Linked DNA regions of Drosophila melanogaster. The protein of the gene in region 1 purifies or fractionates together with the protein of each later gene. This does not show direct contact. Each region holds a gene or a part of one and is shown on either strand. Other genes may lie near its edges. The genes, in order: Atu and muc.

Evidence for each region.
Region 2: the proteins of Atu (region 1) and muc purify together in Drosophila melanogaster (affinity purification with mass spectrometry, with the first as the bait; one large-scale study listed by BioGRID). This does not show direct contact.

What each region holds. Positions count from the first base shown.
Region 1 is NT_033777.3:5,611,756-5,616,705, reverse strand, and holds Atu (another transcription unit), read right to left. Parts: upstream 3,349-4,950; 5' UTR 3,245-3,348; coding exon 3,214-3,244; exon of another isoform or gene 3,147-3,213; coding exon 3,083-3,146; exon of another isoform or gene 3,019-3,082; coding exon 2,232-3,018; exon of another isoform or gene 2,132-2,231; coding exon 836-2,131; 3' UTR 767-835; downstream 1-766.
Region 2 is NT_033779.5:7,425,060-7,430,925, forward strand, and holds muc (midline uncoordinated), read left to right. Parts: upstream 1-1,806; 5' UTR 1,807-2,141; coding exon 2,142-2,302; intron 2,303-2,668; exon of another isoform or gene 2,669-2,714; intron 2,715-2,811; exon of another isoform or gene 2,812-2,885; intron 2,886-2,987; coding exon 2,988-3,157; intron 3,158-3,221; coding exon 3,222-3,620; intron 3,621-3,818; coding exon 3,819-4,045; intron 4,046-4,107; coding exon 4,108-4,456; intron 4,457-4,522; coding exon 4,523-4,625; intron 4,626-4,683; coding exon 4,684-4,813; 3' UTR 4,814-5,270; downstream 5,271-5,866. Other genes in the region: CG5958 (uncharacterized protein), read right to left, coding at 5,614-5,796.

The DNA.
Region 1 (4,950 bases):
AGACTAATTTATTTAAGCAATAATTTATGGAAATATATATATATTTAAAATCAACAACCCGCAAACATCTCGTGTGTAAAAATGGCTAACATGAGTGGCCAATGCCCACTTGAAAATATCCCCCGCCATCGCGGTTCAGCGGACAGCTAATTGCGCGGGCTAAGTGCTCCTCCTATCGACCAAACAAATATGGGCCATTTGGGTGCTGCTGACTTTCGGCCAATAAATAATGGATATTTGAAGGTCGCTACTTGGTGATGGCGAAAAATTTACTAAAAGACACCTCTATATTTTGATCAAATTTAAACGAATGCTATAAACTATATAAAGAGAAAAGAAAATTTTAAAATAACTTCCAAATAGTACGTATTTTACGTACTTTTTTGTTTTTAGATTTGCTGCTCTTTGGATTTATCCATCCACATTGAATGAAATCTAATTTAAGTAGCGTTACAGAAACCGTCTCTAATCACTTCCCAGAAATCGAAACTATCTGGTTCTACAGTCACATCGAAGCGCCGACAAAATAGCAAAAGAGACCCAAAACAACAAAAAAAAAAACAAAAAAACTGCACAACAGCTTATTTCCCATTTAGCAACTAATCCTTCCAAATAATCCACCAAACGACTCCTACAACAATTCGTAATAAAAAGACTGAAGTTTGGGTACGCAAACCTCATATGTCGTCACTTGGCCTTTTTGTATAAATAAATAATAGAGTAATTCTAAATTTGCAAGATGCTTAACTAAGCAAAGTCGAATTCAGCGCGTGAAAATTGAAAATTACTTTTATTGGTGTAATCAAGGAACGCACTTGAACTAGCTTAATCGTTGTTAATCGTTGTCACTGCCCGATCCGCTGCCGGAACCACTGCCACTGCCGCTTCCACTGGCAGACTTGCTGCTGCCGCCGCCGCTCTTCTGGCTGCCCTCGTTTTCGCTACCACTAGCGCTGCCCCCTTCTCCGCCGCTCTTGTTGCTGTGGCCGCTCTTGGCGCTGCCGGCGTCCGATTCGCTGTCGGAGTCGCGCAGTGCCTTGCTGGCCTTGGCCTTGTCCACCTTCTTGCTGCGACGCGCCTCGAAGTCGGAGCCCTCGTCTTCGTCCGACGAGTAGATCGTAGATGCCTTAACCTCCGCCTGGCCGGCACCAGAGCCCTTCTTATACCGGTTCTTGATGGCACTCAGGCTGATGGCGTTCTCATCGTCGCTGCCTTCGTCGTGCTGGTAAGACGAAGTGCCGCCTCCAATCAGTGGTTCGCCCGCGCCTGGTTTCTTTTTCTTGGGCAGCGACTTGTGCTGATTGCGCATCGCCTGGCGCAGCTTGGCCTCCTCCTCCCTGAGCTGCGTTGGCCTATCCGTGGTGGGATCCTTGCCCACCTGCGTAAGAATCTTAATGCCACTGGTCTTGCTGGATCGATCGGCCAGCGACATGGTCATCTTCTTGTGCGTAAAGGACTCCGTGGAATGAGGACGGAAAGTGAGCTTGGTCCTGAAGACCGACTGGCCCTGCAGACCCGTTCCTTGGCGGACGAACAGATGATTGTGGTCACCTAACAGCGGCTGCCTGTAGGCGTCGAAGATCTCGTTGCCCAGGTGAAGGGACATGCTGCCGTCGGACCAGCGCACGAATCGCGCATTAGACTCGCGCACCATGTCGCCCTTATTGTTCATGTACTCTCGCCATCGGATAGTGTTGCTCACTTTGAGCTTGATACGCTGTCTGCCCTCCTCGTCCATTGTCTCCTCTTCGTCGATCTCGTCTTCGTAGGTTTCCGGATCAAACGGATGCGTGACCACTGACAAAAAGTTGGGAAGCTTGATAAAGTGCTGCTCTTTTCCCAGGTCTGCAGAGATGCGCGGAATCTCCACATCGATTCGGGTCTCCGGAAGCGGTTCAGGCTCATCCTCCTTGGGCGCCGATTCTACTTGGCTCTCGACTTTATCCCGGGATCGCGATCTGGAGCGGGAACGCGAGTGGCTCATAGAACGACTGTGGGAGTGGGACTTGCTTTGACTGCGGCTCTTGGAGCGCACTGGGGATTTTCTGGCAGCTGGTCCAGCCTCATCCTCATCGTCACTTATATCATCGGCATCTCCAAATATGTCAGCTGCAGCCGGAGCTTTCTTTCCCTGCATAATTGAAATGTACATATATCAGGGTAATTTTTCCTTAATTATAGAACTAGATAAATAACAATATAGTTGAGTAGTTCAGAGTGGTGTGCCTTACCACATCCTGATTGGAATCGCTATCAGTGTCGATCAGCCGTGACTTCTTAGCTTTGGTGGGCGATTCCTCAATGTCGCTATCGCTGCCGCTCTTTTTCTTCTCTTGATCGGAGCCACTCGCCTTGCGTGCCTTCTTCTTGGGCACACCCACATCGCTGCCGGAGCCGGATGCGCTGCCACTACGACTTCTATTGGGCGACGGCGTGCCCGTCTTGGAACGCGATCTGGAAGTGCGACTGCCACTCCTGCTCCTACTTCTGCTGCGACTGCCGCTCTTGGAATTGGCACGCTCTACGTCAATTTGCAGATTGGGCGAATTAGACCGCGATTCCTCGTTGCCCTTGAGTGAACCGCTATGAGACCTCGATCGAGACTCAGAGCGGTCACTTTGTGCCGAACCAGATTTGCGACTCCGAGCGGATCCCGATCTGCGACTGTGGGCCGAACCGGATCTGCGGCTGTGAGTAGATCCCGATTTGCGACTTTGGGGAGAACCAGATCTACGACTCTGAGGCGATCCTGACTTGCGACTTTGCAACGAACCTGATCTGTGACTTTGTGGAGATTCCGGAGTTCCAGATTTACGGCTACGCGCAGATCCCGACCTGCGACTGTGAGCAGATCTTGATCTCTTACTACGAGCGGAGCCAGACAGCTGCGAGTGGCGGCTTTCTGCAGACCCGGACCTGGCACTACGCGGAGACCCAGAGCCGGACCGGGATCGGGAAGACCTGGAGCCCGATCGGGAACGATCGCTGCCACTACCCGACCTGCGACTGCGTTGGGATCTGGAAAACGAGGGGAAGGTAATCAGCACTCTCCCGCCGCCGTGTTTGAATATCAAATAGTTACCCGGGCGCACTACCTCCTTGCGGCGTGACACTGCGGCTTCCACTTCGACTCGAACCGGATGAACCTACATACATATGTGAACAGTGTAAATATTAGTTACTCAGGCCTGGACTTAGCCATTAGCCACTCACCACTGTCGTCGTCCGAGTTTTGGCTGCCCATAATGCCAAGTAAATTTTGTTTAAAATCGGAAAATCTGCAATCAAGACAATTCGCGGCCGGGCAATAAAGTTGAGTTTAGGAGGTCTAGGCACTGTCACAGTAATCGATAACTGAAATACGCAAAGAGGTCTTCGCATAGACGCCCCAGATGGCAGCCCAATAACTGTTTTTGTCTATCGATTAAAAGTAAACAACTATTTTACCAATCGCAAAGGCGAATAAAATTGTTGTCTTTAAAGAAAACAATTCGAATATTCTTTGAAATATACAGTAATCAATGCACCAAACCCTCTCGTTGCAAACTAACTACTATCGATACCAACGCTGTCTCGATAGCAGATTTTTACATCCCTAATTCTTGTGTGTTTGTATTCGTGACAGCCACAAAGTTTTTTGCGGAACATTTTTTGTGTACAATTTAAAGCCATTTCGGGCGCTAAAGAATTGTTTACTGCCCCTCGATAGTGGATCGTAAGGACCCGGCTCCATTAAGTTCGAGTGCATTTGCGGGTCGGCGGCGTAAAAGACGCGCAAATCTAGCAGGGAATTTGCCCAATTCGCTGCTTCGGGTGAAATTTCAATGAACTGAGAAAACAAAGACAGACACACACACAAACACACGCACAGGGTCACAGACACAGTGCTTGTGCAGCAGTGTAGTAAGAAGCAGAGACAACAGCGCAATAGCGAGCGATTATTTACTTACAAATAAAATACAAAACGGAAACATTAACAAAAAGCGAGAGCCCTGGCCAATCCAATCGGCCGAGTGTAACGTGCGCGACATTTGCATAAGCGTGAATATAGAAACTACAGTGGTCGCAAGAGCGGCGCAGAAAAAACGGACAACTTTTAGCCTCCGCCAGGCATCAACATCCTTCGACTCTCCTCTCCTCTCTCTCTCTCTCTCGCTCGCTGTCTCTTCGGCACGAAGACCACGCTGCATACAGACGAGGCACATATACATATGCACACACGCACAGCGGTATATATGCCATTTATTTAGGGACGACTCGGCGCGGAAAAGTACTAACTAACCTCGTTCCCGCTCCTACACCCGCTACGGTTCCAGCTCCCGTTTCTCCGTTGCATCCTTTCAGCTTCCAGCGAGTGAGTGCTAGTGACCGAGACACCCACAGCTAACCAACAGCTGCCCAGTGGGAGTTAGCGGACTTTCATATTCCTGCTGATTCGCCGATCCGTGATCCGTCACAGTTACGGTTACGGCGCCAGGACAACGACTCCTACGTCCTCGTCCCGCCGGCCGCTTTGGAATGTTAAATGCGGTGAGAACGATTCGATCAGTGTATGTTGTTGTTGCTGGACAGAGTGGAAAGCGAGCGTTAACAGTGGAAGAACAAGAAGCGACAGTATCGTCTAACGTTAATTTAGGTAAGTTGCGCGCATTCCTCCTTTCGGATCCGTCGTTCTTATTTTGTACTTGCTGAATCGCCCGAGGTTAAATGGTTGGTTAAACACTTGTCCCCAGAGTTAACGCTAGCCATTGAATTTTGTTGTAAGCGCGGTCGCCAGTGTTGGGAAGCGTCTGTTAGGTCAGCTGATAAAGTTACATGCGTGCAGGTAAAACATCAATTTAATCGACAGCTCCCGTATTCCAGGAAGATTTGCTCCTTTCAAATTAAATGCACTGGCATCCTGTGCTAGTATATCTTGCATTCCAGGCGAGTTCAGCGCACGTTGAAGTT
Region 2 (5,866 bases), on another chromosome or scaffold:
AGAGAACGCGAGAGAGAGAGCTTAAAACGCCGGTTCTTTTTTTTTCCCATTTTTATGCTCACTTTTATTGCGTCTTCTTTGGCTTTCATTTCCTTTGCTTGTCTCTTTACAGCGTTTCAAATATAGAATATCAAGGGTCTGCCGAACGAAACGCAAGGAAAAGAGAATTTGCTGAATGAAATGTAATAATTCGCTGACGGATGACGTCACGTCCTATGTGGTCATTAGCACTCCAGTGGCGCAACCAGGGGGCCAATACTACGCTCCGAAATAGTTGGTAAAACCTTTGACAATCAAACCAAATTAATTCACAATTTTCAGCACTTGAAGAATGGAAGACAACAAAGTGAAAAAACCCGCAAGTTGAATCTAGATACGCCCCTGGTTCCAGTTTTCTGCTCTCATATGACTAATTTTGGCATTGTTATTGCATAAAATTCGCATGGCGTCATCATCATCAACGCGTACAACTACCAAGCTCGCAAAGATCGTTAACCCCAAAGCGACGGAGACCTAATACCAGGCACAAGGTCGACTCCCGTGACCCCCTCCCCAGAAGGGGGTCGCCATTCGCTGATGCAGTTTTGTTGCCATGCGGCGGCCAAACATCTGTCTCAGAACTGCAAATGCTGAAAAAAAAACCTGACTGGGCTTGGCTTGGACTGGCCTGGCTCTTCATCTTCAACTCCAGCCACCACAGTTCCTACTCGTTATATGTGATGATGTTCCCCCGACTGTAAAGTCTCCTACCTTGCGCGCTAATCAGTGACCGGGGCTGGTTTTTTATATACAGTCAGGTACCTGAAGTAGCGCGCGTGGTGGCAGACATATATCTCCATCTTCACCATATAAATAAGCGAAATGCTCGCAGGCGAGTCCTCGCCAGAAATCCCATGTGTATCAACTGTCTCCCATGTCTATTGTACTTCATCAGGTGCTCTGGTGTGTCTCGTAACCCGGCACATGTTGAAGTACACTCAATATGAGGCGATTTGCATACGAAAGCGACCGATACAAGTGTTCAACAAATTGCCTAATTTAAAGATGAGTAAAATATAAAAGTACTCTTTTTATTAAGTTTTTCTTAAAAATAAAATTATGGCTTCTTAAAACTGTGTTACTTTACTTTAATTGGAATCATATCTTTCACAAAGGGAACAACAAAAAATGATTATTGTTATAATCATTATATTTAATTTAATGAAACGAAAAAACATCTGTTAATGTGACTAGAAAAAATTTCAATAATATATTGTCTGATTTATTCAGTCGTCCAGTTTTGTATTTTTTTCCATGCGAGCTCCTCAAATTTCCAAACAGGTTGTGGGCTTTGGTATAAAAATAGATTGTTTATGCTCCGGAATAAATAATAACAAACCGTCCATCATCTATAATGACATTTTATTTGCGTATATAATTTCAGAGAATATTCTACATAAGAAAGTATTAATTGAATGAACTACATATACATATTTAGATAGACAAAAACATTCTTAAAATATGAGCTATTTATATATAAGCATTTTCGTAATTAGTGAATAGTGTGCATGGTGCATAACAAACTATCGAATGTCTACAAGCACGAGTAAAGTGTGACCAGACGCCTCACCGCACTCATTCCCATGCACCATTTTGTAAAAAAGCCAAATTTCCAATTGGAAAATTAAAACATCTTTTTAATATCGTTGCTTTAAAAAAAATCAATTGAATTTAAAACGGAAATGAAAATAAGAATTCAGCAAAAGATTTCGAGGTAACTAACAACAACTTCATAAATTGCTGGGTCATATGAAAAAATATCACAAAGGAGAATCTCCTTTCAAAACACTGTGATACCTCTGTCAAACATTTCGTGTACGTTTTTTGAAAATAAATTCGCTGAACCGCTAAAAAAAGTGATGGTATGTTTCGGTATATTGAATACCGCTTGCACATTTTTTGGCGTTCCGTCTGCGTTCACACTGACCTCCGTAAGGTTATCGGCATAATTTTGTAAATTTTCGACTTTGCCGTTTTTCGACTCGATTCGTTAGTCAAAATTCCGAAAGACGCGCCGCCGTTAGATCCACTTCATCAACGCGCGTTGCCACAACAGGACTTGGATTAGGATTCCCCAGGCAGACCAACGATAAAGGACGAATATGCTGCGCTCCCTTGCAACAACACGAAACGAACTTGGGGCCCTTCGCTCCGTGCTCCTGCGATCGAATAACGCCACCTATGTCCGCCGATCGACGGGAAATGTGGTTGTGCGCGCCCTCAGCAGCCAGCTGATCAACTCCCGGAAACTCCAGAGCATCAGGTAAAAATCTCCCAATTTCCCCAATTCTCCCCGCTTTCGTTGAGGTTAGAAATGGTTGTGTAATATTGCAAAATGCGTATACTGCAGCGGGATTATGTGGGACCTGTGGGGGGCGATGATTGACAGTCCCGTGTCCAACTATTTAGCATATATGTCGTATTCCCCAAAAACACTCTCACACATACCCATGCGATTTGCGTGTGTTGTGCGTGCTCCACTGCTGATTTGGTTTATGGCCAAGGTCGAATACACGCTCTCCTATATCGCATGATGCGTGATAGTGTTTCGGCTGGCTGATAAGCTAGAAAATTCCGTCTAATGATTTAATGGGTCACTCTTTTTGGGTTCCATTGTTTACATCTGACGAGTGGGCGATTGAACGCCTAAATGTGTAGATAGTACAGGAGTGTGGGTACGTAAACAACAACAAACTAACAGCTGATCGAGCGTCCATAAATTAACCCATCCAAAATGCTTTCATTAACATGGTCATTTTGTAATTATAACAGGTCATACAAAATGTACACCGTTACGAATCAGAAGGAAAAATAGTTTCCAAGGATTCTGTATACCCATATTGCAAGTAATACACCTATACTATTTATTCAATATTATGTTTTCTAATAGTGGATACAACCCAATGCAACCAACTTTAATAAACTAGTTTTGTTTGAATATCGCGCAGGTCGAAACTTAACACTAGCCAGTCACCGGTCACATGGAGCTACAACTTCGCCCGTGCCTATGCCAACCTTCCGGAACACATCAGGGTGCCACTGCCCGCACTTTCCCCGACTATGGAGCGCGGATCGATTGTCAGCTGGGAGAAGAAGGAGGGCGATAAGCTCAACGAAGGTACGTGTGATAGTTACCAAAATATCCGAGTTTCAGGATCAAATTTATGACACCCTGATTGCAGGTGACTTGCTGTGCGAGATTGAGACGGATAAGGCCACCATGGGCTTTGAGACGCCCGAGGAGGGCTTTCTGGCTAAGATTCTCATCCAGGGCGGCACCAAGGACGTTCCCGTTGGCCAGCTGCTGTGCATTATCGTGCCGGACCAAGGCAGCGTAGCTGCTTTCGCGAACTTCAAGGACGACGGTGCCGCCGCAGCACCAGCTGCTCCGGCAGCAGCTCCAGCTCCAGCACCGGCAGCAGCAGCAGCTCCGCCACCACCACCACCACCCGCCGCAGCTCCAGCAGCCGCTGCGCCTCCACCAGCTCCCGCCGCTGCTCCAGCTGCAGCAGGTACGGGCCGTGTATATGCCAGTCCCATGGCCAAGCGACTAGCCGAGGCACAACAGCTGCGTCTACAAGGTTGTTTAATCCTAACTAATGCCTCTCTTACACACATCCTGTTCCATTTCGCAATGCATGCATCACCTGACTAACATCCATCATAATCATTCGTTACAGATAACAAAACCTCCCATATACACTATCCAACCGTACAGCTTTTCATATAGCGCCCTTTGTCCAATTGTTCCGTTACTAATCCGCGGCTTTTGTGTGCAGGCAAGGGCAGTGGAGTCCATGGCTCAATTAAATCTGGTGATCTTGCAGGCCAGAAAGCAGCAGCCAAGCCAGCTGCTGCGGCACCTGCCAAGGCCCCCAGGGCAGCTGGAGCGCGCTACGAGGACATTCCGGTGACCAACATGCGCGCAGTGATTGCCAAACGTCTGCTGGAGTCCAAGACACAACTGCCTCACTACTACGTCACCGTGCAATGCCAAGTGGATAAGGTGGGTTATCACGAACAGATATACTTCTTAATTCAAATTTAATTTAAATGAAATTTTTACAGCTGCTGAAGTTCCGCGCGAAGGTGAACAAGAAGTACGAGAAGCAGGGTGCCCGCGTCTCTGTAAACGACTTCATTATCAAGGCCGTGGCCATTGCCAGTCTTAAGGTTCCCGAAGCGAACTCCGCCTGGATGGACACAGTAATTCGCAAGTACGACGACGTCGATGTTTCGGTTGCTGTCTCCACAGACAAGGGTCTGATTACCCCGATTGTTTTCAATGCCGACCGCAAGGGTGTCCTGGAGATCTCTAAGGATGTCAAGGCGCTGGCAGCCAAGGCGCGCGACAACAAACTTCAGCCCCACGAATTCCAGGGTGGCACCATCTCGGTTTCTAATCTGGGCATGTTCGGTATGGGAAATACAGTTATATAAAGCCTGGTCCAAATTTGGTAATTAATATGTTATCCTACCACAGGTGTGAACCAGTTTGCCGCTGTCATCAACCCTCCTCAATCGTGCATCCTTGCCATTGGCACCACAACGAAACAGTTGGTTGCTGATCCCGACAGTCTCAAGGGGTAAGTTTCAAATAAGGAGAATAGTACACTAACTAATATAATCTTTTTTTCTATGCAGCTTCAAGGAGGTCAACATGCTGACGGTCACCCTGAGTGCTGATCATCGTGTTGTGGATGGTGCTGTTGCTGCCAGGTGGCTGCAGCACTTCCGCGACTACATGGAGGATCCTTCCAATATGGTATTGTAAGCGGACAGAAACGACCCATCACATTTAGAGACTCCAACGAAAACAAAAAAAGGATAACAAATTTAGCATCCTCTCTTTAAGCGAGGAGTTTCAATCGACATGCAATATGTGGATATGTGGTTTCTAATCGGTGTCACATATGTAAAGTTTTAAATTGGATTTAACTCATCGGTCGCCTATATATATATATATATAGAAATTAAATTGTGTAATTATTGATGTAGTTATTGATGGTCACCGTCGTTGCCATGATTGTAGAAGAGTACACAAAATACTTGAATGATATTCGAATTAACCCACTCACCGAGCTGTAAATTTCCGTTTGATATGCAAAACGTTTTTTATGCTTTGTTCGCATATGTTGATCATGATCGAGTATGAAAATGGAAGTAGTTGAAAGTCCAAAGACGCGTTAAATAAACCCAAAACACTCACATGAACTAGCCAATTCTTAAATAAAATTGACTTTTATTTTAATTATAGTGTGTTTCAGCCTAAATTCAAACCACGATGCCTCCAAATTTAAAACATTATCTGATGGGTGTTGCATATATCAACTTTTAAGCTTTCTAGACAGTAGCTAGAGTAACAAAACTCTATTCAGCTCAAATTTAATGCTCTCAACACCCAGTCGAAAAATAATATACATTGCTTTTCCGTGGTTTATAGTATTATGTAACTAGTTTATTGCCAAAATGTTACGAACTAAGCAAACACATATTGAAAGTATTTACAAGCATAAAGTTAAGCTAATGTCAATGTAGGATGCGAATGTCAGTGTAGTATTGAAATGGGGCCAATCACCACTGGGCAGGGCCAAGCTGGCTCCACTCCTCCACATACTGGGCCTGCTGCTCCAGAGCGGGGAACCACTCGACGCCACCGTAGTCGATCGCGGGCAGAGTACCCTTGTAGTTGGCGGGCAGGACGGAGGGGTCGAGGAACTTCTGCAACGACTTCATGTCACTGCCGTGGAAGTGCATCTGTTGGAAGAAAATTATTCAATGATATATTGTTATTAATATTCATTTAAAAGGAGGGGGAAATCAGTTA